Linked DNA regions of Ovis aries. The protein of the gene in region 1 purifies or fractionates together with the protein of each later gene. This does not show direct contact. Links are inferred from orthologs where the notes say so. Each region holds a gene or a part of one and is shown on either strand. Other genes may lie near its edges.

Region 1 (6,151 bases):
TGGCGATTGCTGAGGAGGGGGCTGGGACCCCTTTCCATCCCAACCTTGAGCACCCACACCCTATCTTGGGACACTCCCCACCCCCCAATCTGGTTGGAAGAGAGTAGCCAGTTTCCAGAGAGCCAGAGAGTGACAGAGAGAGAGAGAGAGAAAGAGAAAGAGCGAGCGAGAGATGCTGTTGAAGAGAGTTCAACAGCCCAAAGATTTCCCTGCCCCTGGAGTGCTGGCCAGAGGCTCCAGGGCTGAGATGGTCAGGAGCCAGTTTCTTCAGCCCCTCCTCCCCACAGCTCCAAGTGGGGAGGGGCAGCTGTCCATTTGTCCAAAGTATTAATGCAACTGAAGCTGTGATATTTCCAACGACTGTAGGAGGAAAAATTAGGGGGACAGAGGAAAACAAAACCAACCAACCCCTAAAATCATTTTCTTATTGTACATAACGACCTCATTCTCCTGTATATGCGGAAGATATAACCTTATATTTGGTAAGTGTTTCTTGTGCTATTTTATCACGTGACCTGTTTATAAAAATATATATTAAAAAAGTTGTAAAAACACATGTCTGAATTGCTTTTAGGTCATCACACCGTGGTGGGGGGAAGGTGTTCTCTGTCCTGAGTGGCCCAAGTCTGAATTTTTGTGCACCCCTCATCAGGTGTATTGGTTCTTTCAATAAACATGCAGAGACTGGTAACACTGTGCCAGACTGGAAACCCAACAGTGACCACCACAGAAGGCCCCTAACCTCTGTGTCAGCAGGGAGAGACACTAAAATCATTACATATAACACTCCTTCCAAAATATCTAGGATATAGCCCATTCTTCCAAGGGCAAGAATGAGGGCTGCTAGGGGTATCCTAGGGAGAAGGCAATGGCAACCCACTCCAGTACTCTTGCCTGGAAAATCCCATGGGTGGAGGAGCCTGGTAGGCTGCAGTCCATGGGGTCCTGAAGAGTCGGACAGGACTGAGCGACTTTACTTTCACTTTTCAGTTTCACGCATTGGAGAAGGAACTGGCAACCCACTCCAGTGTTCTCACCTGGAGAATCCCAGGGACGGGTGAGCCTGGTGGGCTGCTGTCTACGGGGTTGCACAGAGTCGGACACGACTGAAGTGACTTAGCAGCAGCAGCAGCAGCAGCAGGGGTGTCCCAGATCACACAGAGCAGCAAGCACAGGCCAGGGCGCATACCCAGCGAAGAAGGGCGGCTCAGAGAGGGTCACTGACTGAACGTTGGTGTGAACAGGTCCAGTCAGGCACCAGAGCTCTTGGAGACAGACGGACGCGAGTTCACATTCGTGTAAAACAGATGTAATCAGTATACCAGGTTGTGACGAGCGCCGTGGAGGCCACTGAGATGCGGTGGCCGGGGAAGGCCTCTAAAAAGGTGCCATTTAAGCTGAACTCTGAGGGATGAGGAGACGCGTTCTAGGGAGGACAACGAGCGTGCACCCACGATGACCGTGAGGCAGGCAAGGGCTCCTGCGGCGGGAGCTGCGCGGAGAGGACGGGCCAGGAGCTCGGGATTTGCCTCCCAGCGCGGTGAGGACGTGTGGAGGCCCGCAGGCCGGAGTCCCTGGCTGTGCGGAGCTCAGATGACGCGGGAGGGGGGACCCCAGGAGAGCCGCTAGGAGGCTGCTCCCGAGTCCCGAAGAGCGCGAAAAAGGAGGCGGAGACGGAGGAGGGGTGTGGGGCCAGCCTGGGGATGCCTGGGCTTGCTGATGGACTGTGGGGGCAGAGATGAGCACTAGCGTTCAAATAACACGAGTTAAAAAAGGAAGAGGAAGAATACCAGAGGCGGAACCGGCGAAGCCTCTCCCCCTTCTCTGCTCGCCCTCCGCCCCCAAGGCGCTCTCCCGTTCCGGAACGTTTGTAGTGTGGGCGCCCGCTTCCAGCGCGGGGCTGGAAAGAAAAGGACCACGTTCGGCGGGGGGCGGGACGGAGACGGGCTTCTTCCGGCGCGGCCGTTCCTCCCCGGGCCGGCAGTTTCGGGAAATGGCTCAGGTGCCCGCGGAAGGAGAGACTTCTCCGTTCCTCCGGTTCTGTTCCCGCGGTCTCCGCTCCCGCCGCAACCTCTGCGCCGCCAGGCTCTCCTGTGCGGTCGCGCCAGCCATCCCTCGGGCTCCGTAAACAGCTCGGTCCTGGAAGCCCCTCTGACCCTCGCGCCTCTGGTCTTCCTGCCCCCTCCTTTCCAGAGGCCGACTGTGCACGGTGGGAGCCATCTGGCTTCCCTGGCGGGACTGACTGCCCGAAGGTCCAGTGACCATCCTGATTTGGCAGTTAGGGAGTTGGAGAATTGGCCTGGCCTGGGGCTGACCAGGTAAGGTCTCCCCCAGAAGTCAGACATGGGGCTGGCTAGCCTCAGGGCAGCCATGGCACCCTCCGACTGCCCGGCCAGGGTGATGGAACTTGCCTATCAGACCGATTGACTAACGGTGGACTTCCCTGGACTAAGCAGTTTTGGAGGAACCACCCAGGGTGAAGGGTCTGAAAGGACACGCCCCTGCCGCCAGGCTGACCAGGTCTGCCCACTTCACCGATCTGTCCTCGCCACCCGTGCAGCCATGGAGAAGATGTCCCGTGTGACCACGGCCCTCGGTGGGAGCGTGCTGACTGGCCGCACCATGCACTGCCATCTGGATGCTCCGGCCAATGCCATCAGTGTGTGCCGTGACGCGGCCCAGGTGGTCGTAGCAGGCCGCAGCATCTTCAAGATCTATGCCATTGAGGAGGAGCAGTTTGTGGAGAAGCTGAACCTGCGCGTGGGCCGCAAGCCCTCCCTCAACCTGAGCTGTGCAGACGTTGTCTGGCACCAGATGGACGAGAACCTGCTGGCCACGGCGGCCACCAATGGCGTGGTGGTCACCTGGAACCTGGGCCGGCCGTCCCGCAACAAGCAGGACCAGCTGTTCACGGAGCACAAGCGCACAGTGAACAAAGTCTGCTTCCACCCCACTGAGGCCCACGTGCTGCTCAGTGGCTCCCAGGATGGCTTCATGAAGTGCTTTGACCTGCGCAGGAAGGACTCTGTCAGCACCTTCTCGGGTGAGGCCCTGGGAGGCAGGTCAGGCAGGTGTGCCTCTGCAGGTGGCCGACCTGTCTAGGCAGGTTGAGAAGCGCTGTGTGTCAGAGGCCCTCAGGTGTGCTCCCATAGGGCTTCCTGGAGGAGGAGCCAGCTGAGCTGGCACTGGAGGAGGGGGTGGAGGTCAGCAGGGAAGGGGCAGAGGTGGGCCTGGTGGAAGTGTGACGGGTACCTGGAGTGTGGGCACAGCGCTGATGCACTTGCAGGGCCAGCAGGAGTCGAGGGTAGTGTGGGATCAGGGAGAGGGCAAATGGGTGGCTGCCCTGGCAGCTCAGCCTCCTCTCGCCATGCCTCAGAGCTCCAGGCCACCTCATCGCATGAAGTCTGCTTCCAGGGTCCTCAGCCCAGGGAAGCAGTGGGGAGTGGGGCACTGCCTGGTTCCCCACCCCCCAAGTTCCCTTCCCAGCAGCCCCAGATCTTGACACCCCCGCCTTGAGCCAGCTCACATTTTTTACCTTGATGAGACCAAATGAAGACCAGGGCAGAGCCCTCAGATAATCAGGGAGCCTCTTACGACAGTCCTTGAGCTCCCTGTGCAGGGGAAAGCTGGGTGCTGCATTCGAAGGCTCCTGGTGTGGTGGTCCTCAGGGCTGGACGTGTCCCCTCAAGATCTCCAGTCCTTGGGGGCTGGCCAACCTGGCAGCTCCAGCTCAAGGTGTAGGGCCTGGGCAGAGCCTGGGGCATTTTATCTCTGCCTCCTGGGGCCTGAGGCTTCCAGAGGATTGTATTCGGCCCACCGAGGCTCCTGTTCACACAGTGCTCTGACACCTGGTCCTGAAGCCGTGACAGCTTTGCACGAGGGCAGATGTCAGATGCAGAATCCAGAGAAAATCAAGGTCCAGGAGTCTGTTAAAAACCACCTGATGCCTGGTGTCCCTCTCACCTGCCTGGGCTATTATCTGCTTTGCCATGCCTCTCTTCGCCCCTGTCCACTCTGGACAGGCCTTGGCAAATGTCTACATCACCCTCCAGGCCTGTGGTCTCGGCCACAGGCAGGAATGCAACACCAGCCCACATCCATTCTGAGGAATCCCCATTGGTTGTTTACTCTCCCTCCTGGAGCTCCTGTGGGCCACCCTGTCCCCCACCCCCAACCTTCTCCCTCCACTAATGTCCGCTCACAGGCCAGTCTGAGAGTGTGCGCGATGTCCAGTTCAGTATCCGGGACTACTTCACCTTCGCGTCCACCTTCGAGAACGGCAACGTGCAGCTCTGGGACATTCGGCGGCCCGACCGCTGTGAGCGAATGTTCACAGCCCACAATGGGCCTGTATTCTGCTGCGACTGGCACCCCGAGGACAGGTGTGGGGTGGAGGCCAGGGCAGCGGGCCAGGGTGGGTGGGCTTGTGGAAGGGCTCTCTCACTGCCTCAAGACCTGTGAGACAGAATGGGGAGCCCTCCCACTCCGAAAGAGGTCACTGAGGATTTCGTGGGCCTTCCCCAGGGGCTGGCTGGCCACAGGTGGGCGTGACAAGATGGTGAAGGTCTGGGACATGGCCACACACCGTGCCAAGGAGGTGCACTGCGTGCAGACCATCGCCTCCGTGGCCAGAGTCAAGTGGAGGCCCGAGTGCCGCCACCACCTCGCCACGTGCTCCATGATGGTGGACCACAACGTCTACGTGTGGGATGTGCGCCGGCCCTTTGTGCCCGCCGCCATGTTTGAGGAGCACCGGGACGTCACGACAGGCATCGCCTGGCGCCACCCGCATGACTCCTCCTTCCTGCTCTCCGGCTCCAAGGACAGCACTCTCTGTCAGCACCTGTTCCGTGACGCCAGCCAGCCTGTTGAGCGTGCCAACCCTGAGGGCCTCTGCTACGGCCTCTTTGGGGACCTGGCCTTCGCAGCCAAGGAGAGCCTTGTGGCCACCGAGTTGGGGCGCAAACCCTACGCTGGGGATCGGCGCCACCCCATCTTCTTCAAGCGCAAGCTGGACCCTGCCGAGCCCTTTGCGGGCCTCGCCTCCAGTGCCCTCAATGTCTTTGAGATAGAACCCGGCAGCGGCAGCATGAGCTGGTTCGTGGACACTGCCGAGCGTTATGCCCTGGCCGGCCGGCCACTGGCTGAGCTCTGTGACCACAATGCGAAAGTGGCTCGAGAGCTTGGCCGCAACCAGGTACACGGGGTGGACTGAGGGCCAGGATCTTGGTACAGGGCCTGGAGCTCCGCTGACAGCTGTGGCCGGACCCTGCCCTGAGCTCAGAGTTCAGCTCTGGCTGAGGACACCCCCAGCTTGCCCCAGTAACTGAGTGTCCAGAGCCCCAGGAGTGGGCCTGACGCCAGTGCCATTCCTGGGGTGCAGGCCTGGGTGTTGTGGGGTCTTGGCCTCTCTTGGCTTGTCCTTGCTCCTAGACTTGCAGGATGTCCAGCCCTACAGAGAATGCCCACATTGCCTTGCTCATCCTCTCCCTGGGACCTCAGGCCCATTTCCATGTTTCCTCTGCCCCTACAGGATGGAGGCTAGGTTGTTTGTTTTTCCTGTGGGCCTCAGCTTCCCACCTGGGGTGGACCAGGACATTGGGTCCCTGGGGCAACTGAAAGCTGAGGGTTTGTGGTTCTATCCAGGCAGAGGGGGGCCTGCGCAGGGCTCCAGGGACCCAGGACCCCCGTGAGTGACTAGTGCCCACCCCTAGGTGGCTCAGACGTGGACCATGCTCCGGATCATCTACTGTAGTCCTGGCCTGGTGTCCACCACCAATCTCAACCACAGTGTGGGCAAAGGCAGCTCCTGTGGCCTGCCCCTCATGAACAGGTAGACATCTGGGGGCGGCTCTCCCCAGAGGGTGGGACTGCTGGTGCCTACCCACCCATCGGCCCTCCCTGCCCCCAGTTTCAACCTGAAGGATATGGCCCCAGGGCTGGGCAGTGAGACTCGGCTGGACCGCAGCAAGGGTGACGCACGGAGCGACACAGTGCTGCTGGACTCCTCAGCCACACTCATAACAAACGAAGGTAGCGTGGGGGCGGCAGAGGGCCTTCATGGGGGTGGGACTGGGTCTCCCAGTGAGAGGCAGTCCTGGAATGCCCTCCCTCCCTCCCCCGGACAGATAACGAAGAGACTGAGGGCAGC
Region 2 (6,051 bases), on another chromosome or scaffold:
CTTAGAGACCTACTGTTGAGGAAGGGCATTAATCATTCCCCATAAGATATTCAAATCCAGAACAAAGACACACCTTAGGGTCAACAACATTCACATACACATCTTGATAAGGTCTTAGCCGGAACACCTGAGTCACAGTCTGGTCCACACTGATGGTTTCTGAAACAGAGAAGAAATCTGAATCACATAGAGCATTCTGAAAAACCAGGCAAATACATTCTAATCTATAAACGGCTTCTCAGGTGGCTCAGTGGTAAAGAATCTGCCTGCCAATTCAGGAGAATCAGGAGATGTGGGTTCGATCCCTGGGTCGGGAAGATCGCCTGGAGAAGGAAATGGCAACCCGCTCCAGTATTCTTCCCTAGAAAATTCATAGGCAGAGGAGACTGGCAGGCTACAGTCCATGGGGTCACAAAGAATGAGATACAACTGAGGGCACGTGTGTGCGTGTGTGTGTGCACACACACACACACAATCTATAAATGCCCAAACATTCAACAAACAACACAACTGATCCTTTACCAAGGGCAAGACATGTTTTCTGTCTTCAGGAACTTAAAACTTAGAGAGTTCTCTGCTGTTCAGGTGAAGTAAGACCTGAAGCCAAGCAATTAAAAAATGAGAGAGAGACAGACTGAAATAGAGAGAGAGAAAAAAGAGTTTAAGAAGCAACACAAGAAAATTCAAAGGGTTGTGAAAATTGAGAAGAGGAAAGAGACCCTTTCTCTTTTGGAGTAAAAGTGGTGATGGTAGTCAAGAAAGAAACAAACTTTCCAATGAGCCCTGAAGTCTGCTAAGTAAGAACGTAATAGGCAGCAGGAGATGCGGCTGCTGCTGCTAAGTCGCTTCAGTCGTGTCCGACTCTGTGCGACCCCACAGACGGCAGCCCACCAGGCTCCCCCATCTCTGGGATTCTCCAGGCAAGAGCACTGAGGTGAGAGCAAAAAGGACACTCAGGATCTAGGTTTGAAAACACGTTTTCCCGTCAATTTAAAACATAAAAAAGTGGTTGACATCAAAATCCTTTAGAGAAGATTAAAAAAAATTTTTTCTTTTCAGTGCCGTTTAAGGAATTATTTTATTTGCTATCAATTAACATTTTAGTTCCTAGATCAGCATGGTATAGTCATTAGAAGAAAGGATTTGGATTCAGACTGAGTTAGTATTGATAGAATCACTGCTCTGGCTCCTTCACTTGCTAACACCAGGCAAACTTGCTCATCCCACTGAGACAAAGGTTCCTCCCTCACTCAAGAGCTGGTGGGAAGAAAAAGACAGATAGATGCCAAGCAGCTCCAGTTCAGTGCTTTGCACAAGTGCCGGGTAATCAGCGGTCTATGTTCTTCCTCTGCTCCAGCCCAGTGTAGACACGAAACAAATATTTTGTGAAAAAATATAATATTGAGAAAAGCATGCTTTGCCAACAATTGTTTTAGAGTTTAAGTGTAGGGCTTACTCTACTTTCCTTTTGATCCTAAATATAGTTTTTGTTTTCTTGTTAGTATTTACTTATTTGGCTATGCAGGGTCTTAGTTGTGGGAACTCTTAGTTCCCCGACCAGGGATCGAACCCAGGCCCCCTGCATTGGGAGCACAGAGTCTTAGCCACTGGACCACCAGGGAAGTCCCTAAACATAGTTAAAAATGTCTAGTGCCCTCAAGGTGCTGACGAATGAGATTCCTTGGCAGTTTTGGTATCTGACAATATTTTTATTAGCAGGAACACAATTTGATAAGGAGAGACATACTGTGCCCTCATTGTGAAGGGAGCTTTCTTAAAGTTTCTGAAACAATAAAGTGTAAAAAATCTTAGAGAAGAGAGATGGAATTCTTACCTTTCTGCAAATCCTCCTTAAGTGACTTGACCTGCAAAAGCAGAGGGCTAGAGGTGGTGGGGGTGGAGGGGTGGGGGAGAAAGCAACAAAGAGAAGAGATGTTGTCAGCATTAACTAATCAGTTTTTTTTTACCACCCACAAAACACAAACAGATCACTCTGGACATATTCTAACCGGCAGCACAAGAACAGGAGAGAGTTCCTTTAGAAACAAACTCTGCACTTGTACAGTAAGTCCCCTACATCCAAACCTTCAACTTGTGAACTTCCAAAGATGTGAATGTGCGTGCCAGCCCCCGTGTGCCACCCACTGTACTGGATGACTGTAGTTTTCAAGGTACTGTGCTGTACGATTAAATCCGTTTTATTTTTTGTGTTTTTGATGTATGTATTATTTGTGTGAAAAAGTATTAGGCTGGCCAAAAAGTTCATTGGGATACGGAAGAACTCGAATACTGGCCAGCCCAATGTTCTGAACCTATTACAGCACATACTATACAGCCAATTGTGTCAGCTGGGTACCTAGGCCAATTTCGCTGGACTTAGGGACAAATTGGACTTAAGGACAAATGCACTCTCAGAACAGAACTCATTGGTATGTCAGAGACTTACTGTATTCAAGGGAATGAATAAATGCTACAGAATTGTTCAGAGTTCTCTCAGCTTTGTAACCAGAAAGAATGGACCCCTTTTAAAAAGATTGATTGGTCTAGCAAATCCCAGAGGGCAGGAACATTTTTATCCCAAGGCAAAGAGCCATCTCGCCCTTCATCCCCTTAGACAACACATCACCTGGAAACAGCAGGCTGCCCAGCTAGCCCCCTACTCCTGCTCAGATGCTCACCTGTACTCATCGTTGGGGTGGGCAATCTCCACGATGTCTCCAAGCTTGATGTGTGGAAATACTTTGGGGTTCATGACTAGCTCATCGTCTGAAAGACAATTCAGGGATCTCAGGCAGCAAGCAACTCACGCGGGTTGTGGGTTGCTGTGTGTTCTCACGCTGGGTCCTTACAACCCCATCATTCAGAATGACAACCCCATCTCACAGAGGAGGCTCCATTTAAAATTGAGATTTAAGGCTCCCCTAGTGGCTCAGTGGTAAGGAATCCACCTGCCAATGCAGAAGACATGGGTTCGATCCCAGGTCCGGGAAGATCCCACGTGCCTGGGAGCCCCTGAGCCCGTGCACCACAACTATCGAGCCTAGAGCCCAGAGCCACAGTACTGAGCCCACATGGCACGACTACTGAGCCTGCGTAGCCCAGAGCCTGCGCCCTGCAACAAGAGAGGCCGCTGCCACGAGGAGCCCACGGTCCACAGCTAGAGAGGAGGCCCCACTTGCTGCAACTGGAGAAAAGCCTGCGCAGCAACGAAGACCCAGCAGAGCCAAAAATAAATAAATGAAATTTAGCTTGACTGAAGGATTTGTACAGGAAGCCAGAGGTGGTGAGCAGCTGAGTGGGATGGTGTTCGGGGACCTTTGTCTCCAGAGCTTTACCTGCCAGCCCACTGCTCCCAGGGAGAAGGCAGCTCTTCCGCTCTGGGAGTTAGGCGTCTAGGGCAATTCTTTACTTCCTCAAATGGTGTGCATCTGTCATACACCAGGAACAAGACAGCCAGGGGCCCACATACAGCACAATCCCTTCTACTTAATATTCAAAGAATTATTCAAAATACTGTCTGAATGTGACCCTCACAATAAATCTCTAGATCTAACAGAAGCAAGAAAACAAGAGATAAAGCAACTTGCCAAAGGTAGATAGCTAGCAACAACAGTACACGAGGACTGGTTACTAGTCCAGGGTTCCAAAACCCACTGTTTCTCACATCCCTCAAGCCAAATAAAACACCCTGGACTTGGAGGGCAATGCTTGATCAGGGAAAAAATTCACATATAGCAGAATTGAACAGACAACAGAAATAACTTGACAGAGGACAGGATGCAAGGACACAGTATATACAGCATATCTATAAAGTATGTATACAGTGTATCTATACTGTACGTATACAGCGTATACAGTGTATCCGTATACAGTGTATCTATAATGTACGTATACAGCGTATACAGTGTATCCGTATACAGCGTATACAGTGTATCCGTATACAGCGTATCTATAATGTATCTATAATGAGTCTTCTTTTTCAGTCTGGAGCTGGGTACAGGAGACTCTTAAATACACAGAGGATGTGATTTTATATGGTTATCTATCCCTGCCCCACACTAGAGCTCGGGGAAGGGGGAGGGAACTCTTTCAAATATAACACACTCAGGATCATAAAGATATAGTATTTTGTTGTTTTTTCTTTGTCTCTGTTTTAGCTTTTAGGGAAAGATGGTCTTTTTTTCTTTTCTTTTCTTTTTTTTGGCCATGTCACATGGCTTGTGGGATATTAATTCCCCAACCAGGGATCAAACCCAGGCCTTCAGTAGTGACAGCACAGAGTCCTAACTGCTGGACCATTAGGGAATTCCCAACACATCCTTCTATCATGCTAAAATTATGACAAAGAAATATGTCCAGATTTCAGATAAAATCAGAACCAACAAGAACTCAGCCTAGGAAAGCAAAGTACTGAGTTAATGCCCAGTTGCTCTTTCTTTTTGGATACAGTCTCCATTGACAGATGTAAAGCAAAGCCTCTATGAAGTCTCCCTCTAACTTTCAGTCTCACAAGTATTCCTTAGTGTTTAATCTTACCATTTCTTTTTGCATGTATGTCACAACAAGCTGAAAGCTCCTTAGGGAGAAGGAACCTTGTCATATTCAAAATCTTTATGCTTGGTATAGACAGGCGGTGTAGTCACTAAGTCGTATCTGACTATTGCAACCCCATGGACTACAGCCCACCAGGCTCCTCTGTCCATGGGACTCTCCAGGCAAGAATATTGGAGTGGGTTGCCATTTCCCTCTCCACTGGTACAGGTATGTACCTAATACATAGTTGTTGGATGTATGTTTTTCAATTTGATTTTTATTTTATTTATTGACATACAGGTGCCATACAATACTGCATCAGCTTCAGGTGCTCAGCATATGGTTCAGTATTTTTGTGGAATATATACCATTATGAGCTATTACAAGATAAGAGGTGTATTCCCTCCGCTACATAATATATCCTCGTTGTTTATCTATCTGATACATAGCAGTCCGTATCCATTAATCCCATACCCCTAATCTGCCCCTCCCCTTTTCCCTCTCCTCTTTGGTTGCCACAAGTTTTGTTTTATATGTCTGAGAGTTTGTTCTGCATATACATTCATTTGTTTTGTATTGGTTTTTTAGTATCTGTCTTTCTCTGTCTGACTTAATCACTAAGCATAATATTCCCTAGGTCTATCCATGTTGCTGCAAATGACATTTCAATCGTTTTTATGGCTGAGTAATACTGTAGGATGGATTTTTTTCTTTATAGTCCTACAGCAGACTGGGTACAGCAGGGATCTACCACTGTCTTGCACACGTGAAAAAGAACACTTGCATACATTGTATTAATAGATACAGAGTATACACTGTATCCTTTTCTCCTTTCCTGTGTCAAAAGTTATTTCTGTTTGTTCAATTCTGCTCCACAAAGGTTTAGGCAGCTTCCACTGCATACAAAGTACAATGCTAACAACAGACTGTGGTTTTAGCAGAAATTATGTTTTAAATATAGCAATGCCGGGTATATCCTTTTCCTGGTACTTACAATGGCTACATTTATTTAGCAGCTAAAAGGAGCCTGGCTGAATACTTTACATACATCACTTAATTTGAACCCTTAAGATCTTATGATATAGAAACTATTATTCTACCTTTTAGGCAGCCCTTACCTTTGGGAGGCTTATACATCTCTAATACAGGAGCAGATATAAAAGTGAAAGTGAAGTCGCTCAGTCATGTCCGACTCTTTGCAACCTCATGGACTATAGCCTACCAGGCTCCTCCATTCATGGAATTTTCCAGGCAAGAGTACTAGAGTGGGTTGCCATTTTCTTCTCCAGGGGATCTTCCCAACCCAGGGATTGAACCCAGGCCTCTCGCATTGCAGGCAGATGCTTTACCATCTGAGCCACCAGGGATTTTGAGCACATATATAGTAAAACACAATTTTTAAAACACTGTGTTGTTAATTCCAATTCCTGAAGTAAATAAGGTTATTAGGACATAAAGGAGATTTATTCCTCTAGGGGAAAAAAAAGTCATATAAATAGGTGCTTCCTTATTCTGCAG

The links.
Region 2: the proteins of WDR24 (region 1) and DEPDC5 purify together in Homo sapiens (affinity purification with western blotting; 4 studies listed by BioGRID and IntAct, with this or other methods). This does not show direct contact. The link is inferred for Ovis aries from reciprocal best matches to the Homo sapiens genes WDR24 and DEPDC5.

The regions. Positions count from the first base shown.
Region 1 is NC_056077.1:1,124,422-1,130,572, reverse strand, and holds the start of WDR24 (GATOR complex protein WDR24), read left to right. Parts: upstream 1-1,938; 5' UTR 1,939-2,562; coding exon 2,563-3,043; intron 3,044-4,204; coding exon 4,205-4,382; intron 4,383-4,524; coding exon 4,525-5,197; intron 5,198-5,714; coding exon 5,715-5,833; intron 5,834-5,911; coding exon 5,912-6,033; intron 6,034-6,128; coding exon 6,129-6,151. UniProt on the Homo sapiens protein: Catalytic component of the GATOR2 complex, a multiprotein complex that acts as an activator of the amino acid-sensing branch of the mTORC1 signaling pathway. The GATOR2 complex indirectly activates mTORC1 through the inhibition of the GATOR1 subcomplex.
Region 2 is NC_056070.1:70,304,004-70,310,054, reverse strand, and holds part of DEPDC5 (GATOR1 complex protein DEPDC5), read right to left. Parts: intron 2,767-6,051; coding exon 2,679-2,766; intron 1,882-2,678; coding exon 1,835-1,881; intron 1,623-1,834; exon of another isoform or gene 1,550-1,622; intron 160-1,549; coding exon 74-159; intron 1-73. UniProt on the Homo sapiens protein: As a component of the GATOR1 complex functions as an inhibitor of the amino acid-sensing branch of the mTORC1 pathway.